Kluyveromyces lactis: one gene and its partners. Each later gene encodes a partner of the first gene's protein in a complex. Links are inferred from orthologs where the notes say so. Each region holds a gene or a part of one and is shown in the gene's direction. Other genes may lie near its edges. The genes, in order: SNU13, RSA1, SMD1, SMD2, SME1, SMX2 and PRP8.

Region 1 (2,199 bases):
AGCATAGTGAACAGATGGTCCCTCTTTACCAACACTTAAATCAGAAGAAATGGCAAGCGGTAAAGCGACAGATTTTACTATAAGGGTCTTCAAATTCAAAAACTCCGGGGTATATTGGAAACCTGATACCCAGGATTTAATTTCTGAAATACCAGATCCAGTGGCAAACGGTGCAATGTGTAGGACCATCAGACAACTAATAGTTGCAAATGTGACCGATAAGAACATGAATAGCAAAAATGAAAAGATTGGATTGGTTGCTTCTACCCAAATACCTTTTTCGATACATTCGCTTTGGGATCTTTTAAAGAATATTTCTGCGGCATTGCCAGCCGAACTTATTATGGAACCATAACTCCTTTTACTGATCTCTTCTTTAGGACAGCAGAATGCCTTGTTTAACAACCAATTTCTAGCACAATGTCCAGATTTCCAGTTTACTAACAATTCAGTGAATATTTGTAAAAAACCAGCAATACCGCCAATGGAAAGCCCAATGGCAGTCAAAGTAATGAAACTGCTACCTCTTTTCCATATTAACCTGCGGTACTCATACCAACTCGAACGCGGTATATCAAATTCGTCATGCGATGTTCCCTTGGACAATTCACGCTTCTCTTCCTCAATCCAATCCACAGAAGTGAACTTATCGAAATTACCGACTTCTGGTATATTTCGCAGAGCCTGCTCCTCATTTACCTCTTGGTCAGTCATAGCTAGCTATTGCTCATCAATTGGGTCATACCTAAGTCAAGGGCAATACTATGAGTTTATTCATAAATGAGTTGATAAATTTACATATTGTAATACGTACATTTTTCAATACAAAGAAATATGCACCTTTGAAATTAGGTAAAGAACTGAGAGTGAAAGCAGCTCTTCCTGGGGAAGTATGAAGCATACGATGGGGAACAACAACTACAGACTGCGTGTTTTAGACCATAATAGAGTACTATAGCAATGGCGGAGAATGGCCAAATGATCACAATAGGAGGAATGTATATCGTTCTTCTGAATTAATATAGTGAAACAGCCGTACATTACACCAGTTTGTGATCCCATTTGTTTCTTTTTGCTCATCAGTCGAGGAATTCGAAAATTTTCAAAAATTGAAAAACTAAAGAAAATGATTTCAAGAGACTAACCTCATCTCATCTCGTTCCATCTCATCTCACTTTATGATAAAACTTTTTTTAGACTTGGACTTGATCCGATCTTATTTCTAGTCTTAAAACACCAGATTCAAGCGAGCTTTTCATTCTTGCAAGGAACTTGAACTGACCCAATCGGATACTTCACTTCATATTATAAAGAAATAATGTCTGCTCCAAACCCAAAGGCTTTCCCATTGGCTGATGCCACCTTGTCCCAACAAATCTTGGATGTTGTTCAACAAGCTTCCAACATGAGACAATTGAAGAAGGGTGCTAACGAAGCTACCAAGACTTTGAACCGTGGTATTTCCGAATTCATTATCATGGCTGCTGACTGTGAACCTATTGAAATCTTGTTGCACTTGCCATTGTTGTGTGAAGATAAGAACGTTCCATACGTCTTTGTTCCATCCAGAACTGCTTTGGGTAGAGCTTGTGGTGTTTCCAGACCAGTTATTGCTGCTTCTATTACCACTAACGATGCTTCTGCTATCAAAAGCCAAATCTATGCCGTTAAGGACAAGATTGAAACTTTGTTGATTTAAGAAGGATTTGCACATTTCGTGATTTCCTTTTCTTATTCTTTATATCAATCGTTTAAGGAGTTAACCGCTTTGTGGGGGGTTTGCATAGCAAAGAAAAGATTTACTGCACGTTCATTGATTCAAGTGATCGACAGGTAGATTTTTTTTTTACGACCTCTGTATATTAAACATATATATTACAATTAATACAACTTTTTGATACATTTGCATCCTTCTTAACAATGACATCAACATCTGATGGTTCTAGTTAGTGGTCAGTACATAGTTTTTTTTTGTCTGTTCAAATTAAGAAATGGTTACAGGCCTGTGTATTCCAGATGATATTGTCAGTTGGTAAAAAAAAGTAATAAATTTGACACAATCTTTTGTGCTTTCGACTATCCAACCCTAAATTTACAAGTTTGTTGAAATGAACTTAGAGGAAGAAGTCTGACTGTCCATCAGTAGCTGCTCGAATATGTTCAAGTTTAACCCATTACACATTGTTGGTAGGGAAAAGA
Region 2 (2,719 bases), about 290 kb from region 1:
TAGTGTAATCTAAGCCATGGGAGAAAGAATGTTGTTTTGTCGGCAGGTTACATTTTCTCTTGCATCTAGGCTGTCTTGGCGACATTGGCGTCAGTAGCGTCAGCTTTCTTGCCACCTAGATAATGATGGTTTAAATATCTGTAACCTTGCACAAGTTGGGCTGTTTCATTCACAACGTGACAACCGAATAACAAGAAGTTCCTTGGGGTAACAGCTAGGGAATATCTCATAAACACACCAGAGTACATCACTAGAGCCAGCGTCATAGGTCCAGAAATCATCTCCGGATCCTTCTTCAAATCGTAGATGGCAGCAATTGGGATACCGAAGTTTGAAACTGGACCCCAGAAATGTGTGGTGAAGACATACTTTAAAGTTTCCTTGTTAATGTATTTGGAAATCAAAGATTGACTAGCAGCTCTCTGTACTGGTTGGGACATGATTCAGGGATTATAAACTGTTGCCGAAGTATAATTTACTGAGTTAATATTAACGTAAACCAAACTAAAAAAAGAAGGATAACAATGAATGAATGGGAAAACGAGAGGCCAACTAATAACTCAGATCGAGTACCAAGAAGTTCTTCAATGTACCTTTAAATCTTTTCTGAAAACATTTAAACATTTTTGTTGAGCTTTAAAAGTCTTCAAGGTTTCGAAGCTTGAAAAATTCACCGCTGCAATACGATTTTCACTGGTAAACCCGTTGGTGAGAGACTACCCACTGCACAGCTGATGGAAGTAAGAGGTATAAAACTACATACATGGAGGGGCCGCATAACCACCAACTTATAAGCCGACATATTGGGGGATAGATTTCTGATTACTCTCAGTGGTTAACTTGGTCAAAATCCGTCTCTCTTATGATTGGTAATAAGAAGACGTATATCAGTAAGGTCACGTGATATAGATGACACTGCGTAAAAGCTATAGCACCAGTGGAATGACTTGCGGGGACCCTTATGAGCCTGTTTGACTGTTACATATTTCAGAATATGTTTCACGGTTTACGAAGCATCAGTTACCGGTTTAAAACTTCAACACCTTTCTCCAGAACATTATGTATGTGAACGTAGGAAATTTCTTTTCATTATCTATTCATCTCATCTCATCTCATCTCATCTCATCTCTATCTGTTCAATTAATGAATATGATGGGAAGAAAGGCCCCAGGGAAGAGTATTCGAGCAACATGAATGGTCAAAACGTGTACAATAACTCTTCACAGGGCGGATCTGTGAATAATAATCTTTTGCAACATACGTTACAAACCACGCGAATGCAGTATTATCCGATACCTCAGATGAATCAACCCAACCAATACGGTGTCCCCGCTATGCAGCATGCACCAATGGGAATGAGATATGGGACCCACCATCCTTTCTATCCGAATCCGCACCAGTATCAACAGAGCTGGTATGGTTTTAATCAAGCGCAACCGCCATACGTGGATGTTACAAAATCAAGCAAGATCAATTATGATGATGAGGAAGAAGAAGAAGAGGAAGAGGTGATAGAGCACCAACAGTCAAATTTAGAGGCAAACGACAAAATCGAAGTACCCAAGAAGGGTCCTATCAAAAAGTTCGCCAATACCAATTTGAGGAATTCTGCTTTAGTTGAGAATAAAATAGCAAGTGATGAAGATGATAAAAGGAAAGAAGAAGAAGATGAAGAAGAAGAAGAAGCTTCTGCTGATGAAGATATCATAGAAACCGTCAAAGGATCAGATCTGTATATACCTGGAACTTCAATAGTGCTTAAAACGGAGGAGGATATCGCAAAATGGAAAGAAGAGAGAAGGAAGATGTGGTTAATAAAGATTTCAAATAAGAAAGAAATGTACAGAGAAAAGTTTAACGTCAAGGACGAAGACTTGAATCGTAATCCTCTCCAGGAGTCTAGAAAGGAGCGCTATTTTATTCAAAATATACAAAACCAAGTTAAAAGGTTTAATTATAAACCAAACTTGACGATAGGTCTTCATCAGAGAATCTTAAAAGAGGAAAACGGTAAGATCTTGGATTTCATCAAAGAACTTGGTGATGCCAATTATCTCAAATATGAACTTACAGAAGAAGAAAAAGAGGTGCTCTTTGGAGGCAAAGATCACAAGAATGACCAGAATAGACGCTCCAATAGGAGGTATGATAGGCAACTCAATCAACGTGATACTCAATACCGAAACCATTCAAGGAAAAGACCGATTGATGAGGTTTGAAAAAGGAAATCTTGCTTACTACTTTAACCCTTCCAATATAAAGTTAGTGACAGCTGAACCAATGAAAGTTCCTATTAAGATACCAGGGAAGAATTTATTCAATGCCTTTCCGTTATTATTGTCAGCAATATCAGCGTCATATTTTGCATCATCGTGGTACCGAGGTTTGTCAACTCGATATTTCATTTTGTGTCTTCCTTTAGAATGCCTCTTGCTCTTCCTCTTCTTATGTTTCTTCTTATCCTTGCTTTTAATACTCTCGTACTCTATATTGTGATTATCTGTATCGATCTTGGGGGAACTGACTTGTAGTATTCTCTGTGTACCATCAGTGCTCATGGCGGGCTCATCAATAAAAGTTGATTCATCTTGATTTGATAACATTCCATTATTTGAAGCAACCATTCTCAGTTGCATGAGTTGGATTACTGACCACTCCGGGAGTGTAGTTTTTAATCCGAATTGATGCCTATTCTAGTTCCTTTCCCTATTTTCACTTT
Region 3 (2,179 bases), on another chromosome or scaffold:
AGAGAGATTCTTTCCTTGAAGAATGAAAGTAATATTTTATCAGAATGGATCAAGACCCTTATTTCTTGAATTTCTTCAAATAAATATTCTGAGCCGTACCCAGAATTGCGTATGCCAAACTAAAAAATACGGACCATTTATCTGGTGAAATGTATCTTTGAGCAATTGACATCAATACCGTTGATGTTGCCAAGCTGGAAGACAACATTGCCGCATATCTTGTCTTGATTGCGTGTATAATTTTTGTTTTGTCAACCTTACCGTTGTTAACAGAAGTCAAGGTAAATAGTAACCCTAACACTTGAATAGGCGATACCATGCCTAATGAGCAGCCTAACTGGACCAAGCTTCTATATTTGGATACCACTTTCCTAATTGTGTATTCGTTTATCCATTTGTAACTGAAATGATTAACTGGTGCGTTAAATAGACCACCATATAGACTCATCAATGCCACTTTGATCCAATTTAGCTTCTCTTTTCTTTCCTCTGGAGACAGACTAACCCATTGACTGAACAGTTCGCTTAACCCAGTTAATACCGCGCCTGTTATGCATTTAGTTAATAACGGGTTACGTTTGAGTAAAATATTATATCTCTTCAAGATTACTGATGACGACATGTTTACTCTTGGCGTTAATCTTTAATACTCCCAATCTCTCGATGCGAGCAGCAGTAACCTTGAAAGCTTGCGATCCATGAGATATGAAAAGAGTAATATCTGACTTTAACATCTATATATATATATATATATATATATCCAGATTTTATCAAAGCAATGACTGACAGAACGTTTTGTTATCGCTTGCATGGATAGTTTCTTATCGCACTTCTCCGTGTATCTGTTAACCATTTAACATGAGATGCAACGGATCTAAATACTTTTTGGGTTCCATGTAAGATTCGAACACATGCTCGCTCGAATGTAAGAAACCATTGGAATCTCACGCAAATGAGTTACCCTGTTAAGGCACGTGATAATATGAAATTTCCACTCTTTTCCAGGAAAGAACGACCCCATTGATTCTTGAGTATCAATTTGAACCATTTCATCCATCATTATGTAGAATATGTCAATTGAGTAACTACGATCAAATCCTGATCTTTTATCAAAATCAGGAAGTTGCTTGTGGATCATCTGTTACTTTTGCAAAATTCAAAACTCTTTTTCATCAAAACCATTTGAAACTGGTAACAGCTTTCTGGTGTATCTTTAGTCCGATTGAAACAACGAAGTTTTATATACAGACAAAATGCAGTTAACAGGGTTCTTAAAGAAACTAAAGAATGAAAGGGTGTCTATAGAGTTGAAGAATGGTACCACTGTTTGGGGAATAGTGAGGAGTGTGTCACCGCAGATGAACGTCTCTCTTACTGACGTCAGGCTGACACTCCCTACTAAGACCTCAGAAGCTACCTTGGCTGCCGTCTTATTGTCAGGTGGATCGACACAAGGACAAGAATCTAAGAGAACAACTAGCCTCGAGTTCATCAACATTAGGGGTAATACGATAAGGCAGATTATTTTACCAGATAGTATCAATTTGGATGCGTTGCTTGTAGACCAACAGGAAGTCAACAGGTTGAGGAAACAAGGTAAAGTGGGAAGTGATCCGAATAAGAAGAGATCACTTGAGAGTAACGGGAATGCTCCTAAACGTCCAAAGAGGGCATTTTAATATACATCAGAAAACATATGTGGAAATAAATATGTAGTGATGTTATGGACTTTGTTTTGATGAATGATTAAACACTATTGATAATTATCTTTCATAATGAATAGCCGTTCTTTCCAGTCGATGCCTCCAAAAAAAGAAAGAATGGAATCAAATTTGATCACTGTCATCTCTTGGATCAGAGCTGGAGTCCGAGTCGCTTGAGCTCTCATCGTCCTCTTCATCGTCCCATATTTTACACCAATTGCATTTTCCTAAGGGGATGCCCCAAATTTCATTCCTGTCGCATAACCAGTCTATCAACTCATCGAAATGTATCAATTTAATCTCTTTTTTAATCGATGATGACCAACAATCCATATCTAACGAGTAACTTTTTAATTTTCTATGATCAAGTATATATTTCTTCATTAAATCATGTAATAAATTGAACGATATATCTTGCTCGGAAGGATTACTCTCAGTTAAGAAATAATACGAGATTCTCATATAACATAATACCA
Region 4 (2,300 bases), on another chromosome or scaffold:
GATGGTATGAGACTAAGAGGTGATATCAACGTGCTACTGCTTGGTGATCCTGGTACTGCAAAATCCCAACTGTTGAAATTTGTGGAAAAAGTTTCTCCGATTTCGGTATATACATCTGGTAAAGGTTCTTCTGCAGCTGGTTTGACGGCAAGTGTCCAAAGAGATCCAACTACACGGGAATTTTACCTAGAAGGAGGTGCAATGGTGCTTGCTGATGGTGGTGTTGTCTGTATTGACGAATTTGACAAGATGAGAGACGAGGACCGTGTTGCCATCCATGAAGCCATGGAACAACAAACTATTTCCATTGCTAAAGCCGGTATCACTACCGTTTTGAATTCTAGAACTAGTGTCTTAGCTGCAGCAAACCCTGTTTACGGTAGATATGATGATTTGAAATCACCGGGTGAAAACATTGATTTCCAAACTACCATCTTGTCCAGATTCGATATGATCTTCATTGTTAAAGATGATCACAATGAAGCTAGAGATATCCAAATTGCGAACCACGTCATGAACATTCACACAGGAAGAACTCAACAAAACGATCCAAATGATAATTCCAACTCCAACAACGAAATTCCAATAGAAACTATGAAGAGATATGTTAGTTACTGTAGGTTAAAATGTGCCCCCAGGTTATCTCCTGAAGCAGCCACAAAATTATCTTCTCATTTCATCACTATTAGAAAACAATTACAAGAGTCCGAAAGACATTCCAATGAGAGGTCTTCCATTCCAATCACAGTTCGTCAATTAGAAGCCATAATTCGTATCACAGAATCTTTAGCTAAATTAGAACTGAATCCAGTAGCGACCGAAAAACATGTTGATGAAGCCATTAGATTATTCCAAGCTTCTACGATGGATGCTGCCTCTCAGGATCCTATCAACTCCCAGGAAAATGATACAACAATGCTCTCACAAATTAGAAGAATCGAATCTGAATTGAAAAGAAGGTTGCCAATAGGATGGTCTACAAGTTACAAAACTTTGCAAAGGGAATTCGTTGTGAACAAGAAACTTCCCCAATATGCGCTAGATAAGGCGTTATACCTGTTAGAAAGACATGATTCTATTCAACTAAGACATCAAGGTCAGAATATTTATAGAAGTGGAGTATGAAGTTGCAAATGAAATTCAGGAACCCCTCCTTGAACATTGTCTATAACTCATATGTACCACTGTGTATAAGGAATTTCAGCGACTATGTGTTGATATTTATATAGTGTAAGATTACCCGGATAATGATAATGATAATTGGATAATCCGAAAGAAAACAACTGGATGGTATATTGGGTTTGATGCACAGGATGAGATGATGAGATGACCAAAGAAGGAACCTCTCATATCATATGGCAATCAGGACAAGTTATCACAAACTTACGAGATTGCAAATATCATAAGCCAAGGACTTATCTTCAGGATTTGTCTGTTACATATACTAGAAAATTGACCTAAAACACGATGGCCGATACATATATTCCAAAGACAGACCTTTCAAGGTCTGAACTATCTAGAGACGAGCTAACACAACTAGAAGAATTCGAAATGAAATATGGACCCATGTCTCTAATCAGGGAATCAATGCTACAGAGGACACCTGTTATAATATCACTAAGGAACAATCATAAACTCATAGCTCGTGTGAAATCTTTTGACAAGCACTGTAACATGGTTCTGGAAAACGTTAAAGAAATATGGACAGAGAATGTAAATGGTAAGAAGGTTAACAGAGAGCGATTCGTAGCGAAACTCTTTCTTAGAGGGGACTCAGTGATTATAGTGGTAAAGACATGAACCTGTTTTTATCATCCCATCAACATCCTTTCTGAAGTCACGTGTACTGATATGTTCGCTGCCACTGAAAGCATCAAGTAAAAGGGTTATAGAGCTAATAATCTGATCAAATATCAGGACAAAGATGCATTAATCTTCTGTGAAGCCTTTACCGCATTGAACCAATGTAACTTTCTGATCTGTGCCCGGATTCTCCCTAGTTTTTATATGTCGAATTCCAAACGGCGCATACTCAAAATACGTAATTCAAGCTCAAAAGAACCGTTTAATCCTCTATAGAACTAGATATCAATACATAATACGGCTCAAACCATACAACCCAATACATCCCTTATTTTACAGCTAAGGGGTTGCCTTACCAAATTCAGTATACTGCTAATCACTATTTTTGCCGTTTTAACGTAACGAATACTCAGTTTGGATATTTCACGAATGATATTTCTTCATATTTTTTTTTTTTTTTTTTATTTTTCACTTTCATGAACTCTTTTAAAAAACTA
Region 5 (2,157 bases), on another chromosome or scaffold:
AAATTAATAAATACATCCTGATATTCTTTTCTTTGTTGAGCGTAACGTTGTAAAACTAACATTTGCCTCAAATTAAACCAAAATGGGAAAGTATACGAAACGATATCGAGGTCAGTGTTCTTGCAAGTTAATACCAAGATGACTTCAACCAATGGTTTGAATAAGGCAGGATTCTTTGCAAGAAAAACACACCACGCTTCGCCAGCTTCAACGAATAAACGTGTGAGTGGATCCATAATCTCTTCGTATTCTTCCCAGTCAGAAATGGTTGTGATTGGCAATAGCTTTTGTTGCAAAGCTAAAAGTTGCTCGTAAAGCGCATGTATGATTGTATCGTTGGCTGCGTCTCTCGTTTCTCTTAATAACACACATAAGCATTCTACTGCAGCTTCAAAAGAATCAGAATCAGTATCATATGAAGTATGCAAGACTTGGAACACGGTGTTTATCAATGGAGTCACTTGTAATACCTGTTCTATTGGAAATTCATAACACCACGATCCAAAGCACGAAATGATTTTAGAAGCAGATATGCCTTCAGTTCCGACTCTATCCAAACATGAAATCAAAAATTTCAATACGTCTTCTCCAATGTTATCTATAAGTTCGTGTGTTCTACACTCAAATTCATCTTGGGATAGAGGAGTGGATTTGATATCCAATGTTTCCTCTGGGAGAATCTTCAAAAACAGTAGTAACTTTCCCGGAAGACCATTTAGAGTATTAATAATTTCAACTAGCGGATTCCTCCAATCAAGATACTGAATGGTAAATCGGGCTAGTGCCACGTTCAACTGTGTTACTATGATCTTCTCTTCATACATAGCGATGAACTCAAAGAGCTTTCCCTTGAAACTCTCTAATTCGGTATTGACCTGGTTTAGATCATAGGTGACTTTGTTCACTAGAGTTTGACAAGCAAACATTTGCAACTGTAAGTTGTCTGCTTCATGCTTGCTTAATACTTCGAAGCAGATTTGCCATGCTTCTATGCTCTTTTGAAATTGCTCCAAAAATTGTAAAGCTTGTATCTTCTTCTCCTGTTCAGAAACACTTTGAGTACAAATCAATGCACTCTTGATATCTGGGATTTGATACAACATCAATATTGATCAATCACGTCGTTCTTGCTCAACGGTATCTGCTGTGGCAGTTTTTATGAGTTCCTTTTATAGTGCATAAGTAAGATCAAATGTTTTGGTTGATTCAATATATAAAATTTTTTTAATATGTTAACAATAATCCTATTAAACTAATATCAAACGAATTCAACATGGCACTAGTGACTGACATTAATAAAGGATAACTGCGATCTGATTATAGTTACACTAACATCGACCTTCAATACACCGAAAGATTCTAGAAAAAGTCTAAAATGTCCGGCTCTAAAGTAGGAGCTCCTATGGTACCTCCAATCAATTGCATATACAACTACCTTCATCATCAGACAACAGTAACGTTTTGGTTATACGAACAAGTACAGACACGTATAAGAGGCAAGATCAGAGGCTTTGATGAGTTCATGAATGTGGTAATAGATGACGCTTTCGAAATAGCTGTAGATCCGAAAAGTGGTAAAGAGAGCGATGATAAAGCAGTGTTTCTTGGGAGAATTATGTTGAAAGGTGATAATATAACACTTGTTGTGGCAAATTGATAATGCCTACTCAGAAAATGATAATAGGATGAAAGAAAGATGCTTAGAGTGTAGAAGCATTGATCGGACTCTGTCGTGTAATTATATAAGCCTGTATATTATAACGGAAAAATGAAAGGCACTGAAATTTCGATAACGGCGACAAGCACTATCAAGGCTAATAAAGATATATTGTTCGTAATCTTATGGATCTATTTACAATGTGTTGCTCAGATTGGGGAGAATACCTTAAGTTCATATGGTTTCTTTTGTGTCAGTGATATTATCTAAAAGATATATCTCAAAGGACAGAGTCTTTACGTTCTTCCGCTTGTTTAGTTAATTCATCCAATTTGGTATTAATTTCCTGGTTAAATTGTTCCATCTCACCAGATAAAAATTCCTTCACAATTGGCAAACCTACGTATTTGCCGTTGCCCAAAGTACCAAATAATGCATCCGAAATTTCACCTTCGTTTCTTGCTGTTTGTTGAGAAGTCGACAAAGACAACTTATTTCTT
Region 6 (2,193 bases), on another chromosome or scaffold:
ATGTCAAATTGAATTACCAATGCTACGATCCGTGTTCGTCATGTGATGGAAGTGGGTTGAAAGCTGGACATTCGAGAAGTGTTTGTCCTACATGTCATGGTACAGGTACTCAGGTACATGTAAGAGCAGGTTTCCAAATGGCCTCTACTTGTCAAACATGTGATGGTGAGGGTTCAACTATTAAGGACAGCGATAAATGTGGTACCTGTCATAGCCACGGTTTCAAATTGAATTCAAATAAAACTATCACCGTAGACTTACCTCACGGACTTCAGGACGGTGACACAATTAGAGTACCTAACCAAGGTAGTTACCCCGGTATGGCTATCGATCCGTCCATGAAATCTGAATTGCATTTAACCAGAGGCGATTTGTTGATTCGTGTCAGAGTCAGGAAAGACACAAGATTCCAAGTTTCAAATAATTACGACATCATTTACACTCAGGAAATCCCAATTACAACGGCAGCACTAGGTGGCGTCATTGAAGTACCCACCGTAGAGGAAGAAAAGATCAGATTGAAGGTCAGCTCTGGTACTCAACACGATCAAGTCATCAGAATTCCAAATAAGGGTGTCCCTCGTGGAGCTAGAGGTGACAGGGGTGACATGCTTGTCAAGTTCAAGATTGTTATCAAAAAACCAAAGGATGAAACAGAACGTTATCTATGGGAGACCTTGGCCCACTTGACCAATGATACCACTGCAAGAAGGACCATTACTCCCTCTGGATCGTCGGCTAAGGACAACTCTTCCTCTGCTGATAAAGACACAGTTGAAAACAATGAAGGAACCATCAAGAAATTGGAAAATTTCTTGTCTAACACTTTAAAGAAGATCAGAGGGGAATGAAATCCTTAAATCGCATATATGCTCTCCCGTCATACATTCCACCTTCATTCTTTCATAATTCTTTGATTGGATGAACTAATTACGACATTGGCATTCTCATTATTCATGTACCACTTACAGCAGTCATAGCCAGTAATTGCATATACTGCACATTATTTTATAAAACCCTTTAACATCATGTAAATACCAATTTCCCTATATATATATATAATTGCACTTAGCGCATAATACTTATCGTTTTGATATTCTCTTACTAGTTATCCCTACTTACCATATTTAGCTCGGGATTGAAATTCATGCCAATGACAACGAATGTTTTCAGTAAGGGTCGATATGCTTTAGTAACTTATTCTGACCATCGTTGTCTTCTTAACATTGTGACATTGAAAATTACTTTTGAATGGAAAAAGCATAATTATGTACAAAATTCATCAATTGAAATATACTGAAGATAAATTTCGAAGGACTTTTGCCAAGAGTTAAGAGACTATATCTACGACTTATCACTTCCGTACGACCCATTATAAACCATCCAATATTCCATGACATCTCCAGATTTGAGAAAAGTATGTTTACCCCTGTTTTCCAGGAAAAATCTTATCAGAATTTAAATTACTAACTATAATATGATTCGTTGCAAACAGTACATGGACAAGAAACTCATTCTACAGCTTAACGGCAATAGGAAAATTATTGGAATATTACGAGGATATGATGCATTTTTGAACTTAGTACTGGATAATCCAATACAGATTTTCGAAGAAGGAGAGGTCCAAATGGGACCCCAGACTGTTGTTAGAGGTAACTCCATTGTATCGATAGAACCTCTTGACAGTTTGTAAGAGCAGAAGGGAGACAAATACAACTCAATGTGTCGGAACACTTTACTTAGTGACATTTACGTACAATGAATTATGCTAGTAGAAAGGAAGGATAGATATGATAGAGCGCACACTGGTTACAACATCATTTGTCGAATCTGATTTGCATTTCGACACCAGCTTTTTTCAATCCACATTTCTCATAGAATCCAACATTACTTTCATCACAATCAAGAATAACTTTATAGCATCCATACTCGTTAGCTAATTTGTATAAATACTGAATTAATATCAATCCCAATTTCTTCCCCTGTTGATCTTTTCTCACTGCAATGTCTTCAATATGACCAACAAGCCCACATTCGTGAATAACTTTTTTCTCGACTAGCACGTTTCCTGTGGCGACAACTTCCCCATTTGTGTCAACGATCACAGTGCTATTGTACATAGGTATATCTCCTATCGTGACTGAATCCCAATGGTCTATTAGTGAATGGAATTGATCTTGGCTCACATCACCA
Region 7 (4,300 bases), on another chromosome or scaffold:
AACGTGAAGAGTTAGCTTTAATTGAAGAGGCATATGACAATCCTCATGATACCTTGAATAGAATTAAAAAACTATTGCTAACCCAAAGATTATTCAAGCCAATACAACTAACAATGATGGATCATTATCAACACATATCTCCAGTCTATAACGTTGATCCGTTGGAGAAAATTACCGATGCATATCTTGACCAGTATCTATGGTATGAAGCTGACAGAAGGCAGCTTTTCCCTAGTTGGATAAAGCCAGGTGACTCAGAAATCCCGCCACTTCTTGTTTACAAATGGTGTCAAGGCATTAACAACTTAGATTCTGTATGGGACATCAGCAAAGGGCAATCGACCGTATTGTTGCAAACTGATTTACAAGAATTCGTTGAAAAGATGGATTTGACACTAATAAACAGGCTCCTAAGGTTAATTATCGATCCGACATTAGCGGATTACATTACTGCAAAGAATAATGTCAGTTTGATCTTTAAGGATATGAATCATGTTAACAAATATGGTCTAATAAGGGGATTACAATTTGCACCATTTGTTTATCAATTTTATGGTTTAATGATTGATATTCTCATCTTGGGACATGAAAGGGCACAGGAACTAGCAGGCCCTCCAAACGAACCATCTGAATTCTTGCAATTTCCAGATAAAGCTACTGAAACGAAGAGCCCAATTCGCCTCTACTCACGCTATCTTGACAAAATCCATATTTTATTCCACTTTGAAGAATCTGAGTCTGATGAGCTTATCCAAGACTATTTGATGGAAAACCCCGATCCAAATTTTGAAAATTCTGTTGGTTATAACAACAAGAAATGCTGGCCTAGAGACGCCCGCATGAGGTTAATCAGACACGATGTTAATCTAGGTCGTGCTGTTTTCTGGGAACTTACATCTAGGGTACCAAAATCACTTGTTAACATAACGTGGGAGAATACTCTTTCTTCAGTTTATAGCAAGAATAATCCTAATTTACTTTTCACTATGTGCGGTTTTGAGGTGAGAATACTACCGAAATCTCGGATGGAAGATGTCATTTCTCATGATGAGGGTGTATGGGATTTGGTGTTGGACTCCACAAAAGAACGGACTGCCAAAGCGTTTTTACAGGTATCACAAGAAGCTATTGATGAGTTTAGAGGTCGTATTCAAAGTATTTTGATGGGTTCCGGCTCCACAACTTTTACAAAAATTGTGGGCAAATGGAATACTGCACTAATCGCTTTGTTTACCTATTTTAGAGAATCTATCGTCACGACAGAACCGTTACTCGACTTACTCGTGAAATCTGAGACTAGAGTTCAAAATAGAGTAAAACTCGGCTTAAATTCTAAAATGCCAACAAGGTTCCCTCCAGCAGTGTTTTATACACCTAAAGAGTTAGGTGGTTTGGGAATGCTCAGCGCATCGCACATTTTAATTCCCGCTTCTGACTTGAGGTGGTCAAAACACACAGATACTGGAATAACACATTTCAGGGCAGGGATGTCCCACGAAGATGAGAAGATGATACCAACAATTTTCCGATACATTACTACCTGGGAGAACGAATTTTTGGACTCACAGAGAGTATGGGCGGATTATGCTGCTAAAAGACAAGAAGCCATAAAACAAAATCGTAGGTTGGCATTTGAAGAATTAGAGGGTTCTTGGGATAGAGGTATACCGCGGATCAGTACCATATTCCAAAAAGATAGGCATACGCTAGCCTATGATAAGGGTCACAGGATTAGGCGACAATTCAAAGAGTATTCAGTGGAACGTAGTAATGCTTTCTGGTGGACAAATAATCGTCATGATGGTAAATTATGGAACTTGAATGCCTATCGTACGGATGTCATTCAGGCCTTAGGGGGTATCGAAACAATTCTTGAGCACACATTATTTAAAGGAACTGGCTTTAAATCATGGGAAGGACTTTTCTGGGAGAAAGCCTCTGGTTTTGAAGATTCAATGCAGTTCAAGAAACTTACTCATGCACAAAGAACTGGTTTGAGTCAGATCCCTAATCGTAGGTTTACGTTATGGTGGTCTCCGACGATTAATAGAGCGAACGTCTACGTTGGGTTTTTGGTGCAATTGGATTTAACAGGAATATTCTTGCACGGTAAAATTCCAACATTGAAGATATCTTTAATTCAAATTTTCCGAGCACATCTATGGCAAAAAATCCACGAAAGTGTGGTTTTCGACATCTGTCAAATTCTGGACGGCCAAATGGATATACTACAGATTGAATCTGTTCAAAAAGAATCAATTCATCCACGTAAGTCGTATAAGATGAATTCGTCTGCTGCTGACATCACATTGAACAGTATTTACAAATGGAAGGTTAGCAGACCAACATTGTTGCATCAGACGAAAGATTCTTTCGACGCTACCACAACTGACAAAATGTGGATCGATGTGCAGCTTAGATATGGTGACTATGATTCTCATGATATATCAAGATATGTCCGTGCGAAATTTTTAGATTACACCACAGATAACGTGAGCTTGTACCCGTCTCCTACTGGTATTATGATCGGTATTGACTTGGCCTATAATATTTACGACTCCTATGGAACGTGGTTTGAGGGATTGAAGCCCTTGATACACAACGGTATGAAAACAATAATGAAAGCTAATCCAGCACTTTACGTTTTGAGGGAGCGTATCAGGAAAGGTCTTCAGATATATCAATCTCAAGTTCAAGAGCCATTTTTGAACTCATCCAACTACGCAGAGCTATTTTCCAATGACACAAAATTCTTTATCGATGATACGAATGTTTACCGGGTCACTGTTCATAGAACTTATGAAGGCAATGTGGCTACTAAGCCTATCAACGGATGCGTGTTTACTTTAAATCCGAAAACAGGTGAACTATATTTGAAAATAATTCACACTTCGGTGTGGGCGGGGCAGAGCAGATTGGCTCAATTGGCAAAATGGAAAACCGCAGAAGAAGTAAGTGCATTGGTTAGATCGTTACCCAAAGAAGAACAACCTAAACAAATTATAGTTACTAGAAAAGCTATGATGGACCCTATGGAAGTACACATGTTAGATTTCCCAAACATTTCGATTCGTCCAACTGAGCTCAGATTACCTTTTTCTTCTGTTTTGAACATAGAAAAATTAAATGATGTTGTTTTAAGCGCTACAGAACCGCAGATGGTTTTGTTCAACATTTATGATGACTGGCTAACTCGAGTTTCTGCCTACACTGCTTTCTCTAGATTGATATTGCTATTAAGAGCGCTCAAAACCAATGAAGAAAAAGCCAAAATGATTCTATTAGAGGATCCTACAATCCCAACGAGAGCTAATCATCTATGGCCTTCTTTTACTGATGATCAGTGGATTGAAATTGAGACGAAGATGCGTGATCTAATTCTCTTAGAGTATGGTCAAAAATACAATGTAAACATTGCTTCTTTGACTCAAACTGAAATCAAGAATTTGATTTTAGGACAGAACATTAGAGCTCCATCTGTTCAGAGGCAGAAGATGGCAGAATTGGAGGCTGCAAGAAATCAGAAAACTGATGAGTCGTCGCAGTCTGCCACGGCAGCCATGAAGCTAAAAACAATCAATGCTCAAGGTGAAGAAATTACAGTGGTGTCATCCAGCAATTATGAGTCCCAATCTTTCAGTTCGAAAAATGCTTGGCGGTCAAATGCAATCTCCAATTCATTGCTACATTTGAAGCTTAAGAACATATATGTTACTGCCGAAGATTTTGTAGAAGATAAAGATGTCCTCGTATTCCCACGGAACTTGTTGAAGAAGTTTGTCACAATAGCTGATGTCGATGTCCAAATTGCAGGGTATATGTACGGGTCACCTGTAAAAGATCACCCTAATGTGAAGGAAATTAAGACGATAGCACTTGTCCCTCAACTCGGCAGTTCCGCAACTGTTCGCATATCTCCTCCCCCCTCATCTTCCAAATATCTCAACGACATGGAACTGTTGGGATGGATACATACCCAAAAAGTCGATTCCAAATTCATGTCACCATCTGAAGTGATCACTCATTCCAAAATGTTTTCAGATCATAACGAAAGTGCTGTTGATTTGTGCATAAATCTAATCCCAGGTGCCGTATCAATTACAGGATATACGTTAAGCACTACGGGTTTCAACTGGGGCTTACAATCGAAAGACATAACGGACCCTTCACCAGAAGGGTTTGAAGCTTCATTTAGCGAGACTGCACAGATTTTATTATCTGAACGCATTATGGGCAATTTCTTGGTACCTTCGTCATCGATATGGAATTACGCTTTCATGGGAACTGCTTTTAGCGAAGA

What was found.
Region 2: the proteins of SNU13 (region 1) and RSA1 are in contact, whole or in part, in a crystal structure (PDB 4NUT), measured with the Saccharomyces cerevisiae proteins. The link is inferred for Kluyveromyces lactis from reciprocal best matches to the Saccharomyces cerevisiae genes SNU13 and RSA1. Residues at the interface, in NP_010888.1 of Saccharomyces cerevisiae: Pro6, Lys7, Phe9, Pro10, Leu65, Pro68, Leu69, Cys71, Glu72, Asp73, Asn75, Val76, Pro77, Tyr78, Tyr115, Lys118, Asp119, Ile121, Glu122, Leu125; in NP_015131.1 of Saccharomyces cerevisiae: Val242, Trp245, Arg246, Arg249, Lys250, Met252, Trp253, Leu254, Lys256, Ile257, Ser258, Asn259, Asn260, Lys261, His264.
Region 3: SNU13 (region 1) and SMD1 share a complex: the UniProt entries of both Saccharomyces cerevisiae proteins name them as parts of the U4/U6-U5 tri-snRNP complex. The link is inferred for Kluyveromyces lactis from reciprocal best matches to the Saccharomyces cerevisiae genes SNU13 and SMD1.
Region 4: SNU13 (region 1) and SMD2 share a complex: the UniProt entries of both Saccharomyces cerevisiae proteins name them as parts of the U4/U6-U5 tri-snRNP complex. The link is inferred for Kluyveromyces lactis from reciprocal best matches to the Saccharomyces cerevisiae genes SNU13 and SMD2.
Region 5: SNU13 (region 1) and SME1 share a complex: the UniProt entries of both Saccharomyces cerevisiae proteins name them as parts of the U4/U6-U5 tri-snRNP complex. The link is inferred for Kluyveromyces lactis from reciprocal best matches to the Saccharomyces cerevisiae genes SNU13 and SME1.
Region 6: SNU13 (region 1) and SMX2 share a complex: the UniProt entries of both Saccharomyces cerevisiae proteins name them as parts of the U4/U6-U5 tri-snRNP complex. The link is inferred for Kluyveromyces lactis from reciprocal best matches to the Saccharomyces cerevisiae genes SNU13 and SMX2.
Region 7: SNU13 (region 1) and PRP8 share a complex: the UniProt entries of both Saccharomyces cerevisiae proteins name them as parts of the U4/U6-U5 tri-snRNP complex. The link is inferred for Kluyveromyces lactis from reciprocal best matches to the Saccharomyces cerevisiae genes SNU13 and PRP8.

Annotation. Positions count from the first base shown.
Region 1 is NC_006041.1:2,008,844-2,011,042, forward strand, and holds SNU13 (RNA binding protein SNU13), read left to right. Parts: upstream 1-1,318; coding exon 1,319-1,699; downstream 1,700-2,199. Other genes in the region: GEF1 (Gef1p), read right to left, coding at 1-714; putative E3 ubiquitin-protein ligase HUL4, read left to right, coding at 2,157-2,199. UniProt on the Saccharomyces cerevisiae protein: Common component of the spliceosome and rRNA processing machinery. In association with the spliceosomal U4/U6.U5 tri-snRNP particle, required for splicing of pre-mRNA.
Region 2 is NC_006041.1:1,721,247-1,723,965, reverse strand, and holds RSA1 (Rsa1p), read left to right. Parts: upstream 1-1,190; coding exon 1,191-2,219; downstream 2,220-2,719. Other genes in the region: pyruvate transporter MPC1, read right to left, coding at 66-440; KLLA0_E19317g (uncharacterized protein), read right to left, coding at 2,238-2,636. UniProt on the Saccharomyces cerevisiae protein: Involved in a late nucleoplasmic step of 60S ribosomal subunit assembly.
Region 3 is NC_006040.1:320,463-322,641, forward strand, and holds SMD1 (mRNA splicing protein SMD1), read left to right. Parts: upstream 1-1,253; coding exon 1,254-1,679; downstream 1,680-2,179. Other genes in the region: KLLA0_D03740g (uncharacterized protein), read left to right, coding at 1-69; KLLA0_D03751g (uncharacterized protein), read right to left, coding at 59-622; U4/U6-U5 snRNP complex subunit PRP38, read right to left, coding at 1,827-2,179. UniProt on the Saccharomyces cerevisiae protein: lays a role in pre-mRNA splicing as a core component of the spliceosomal U1, U2, U4 and U5 small nuclear ribonucleoproteins (snRNPs), the building blocks of the spliceosome. Also binds telomerase RNA and is required for its accumulation.
Region 4 is NC_006040.1:781,389-783,688, forward strand, and holds SMD2 (mRNA splicing protein SMD2), read left to right. Parts: upstream 1-1,467; coding exon 1,468-1,800; downstream 1,801-2,300. Other genes in the region: MCM DNA helicase complex subunit MCM5, read left to right, coding at 1-1,125. UniProt on the Saccharomyces cerevisiae protein: Plays a role in pre-mRNA splicing as a core component of the spliceosomal U1, U2, U4 and U5 small nuclear ribonucleoproteins (snRNPs), the building blocks of the spliceosome.
Region 5 is NC_006037.1:204,513-206,669, reverse strand, and holds SME1 (mRNA splicing protein SME1), read left to right. Parts: upstream 1-1,375; coding exon 1,376-1,657; downstream 1,658-2,157. Other genes in the region: mRNA transport regulator MTR10, read right to left, coding at 1-1,103; mitochondrial 37S ribosomal protein PET123, read right to left, coding at 1,938-2,157. UniProt on the Saccharomyces cerevisiae protein: Involved in pre-mRNA splicing. Binds and is required for the stability of snRNA U1, U2, U4 and U5 which contain a highly conserved structural motif called the Sm binding site. Involved in cap modification.
Region 6 is NC_006040.1:658,744-660,936, forward strand, and holds SMX2 (mRNA splicing protein SMX2), read left to right. Parts: upstream 1-1,393; coding exon 1,394-1,417; intron 1,418-1,495; coding exon 1,496-1,693; downstream 1,694-2,193. Other genes in the region: MDJ1 (Mdj1p), read left to right, coding at 1-851; GNA1 (glucosamine 6-phosphate N-acetyltransferase), read right to left, coding at 1,818-2,193. UniProt on the Saccharomyces cerevisiae protein: Plays a role in pre-mRNA splicing as a core component of the spliceosomal U1, U2, U4 and U5 small nuclear ribonucleoproteins (snRNPs), the building blocks of the spliceosome.
Region 7 is NC_006037.1:471,930-476,229, forward strand, and holds part of PRP8 (U4/U6-U5 snRNP complex subunit PRP8), read left to right. Parts: coding exon 1-4,300. UniProt on the Saccharomyces cerevisiae protein: Functions as a scaffold that mediates the ordered assembly of spliceosomal proteins and snRNAs. Required for association of BRR2 with the spliceosomal U5 snRNP, and the subsequent assembly of the U4/U6-U5 tri-snRNP complex.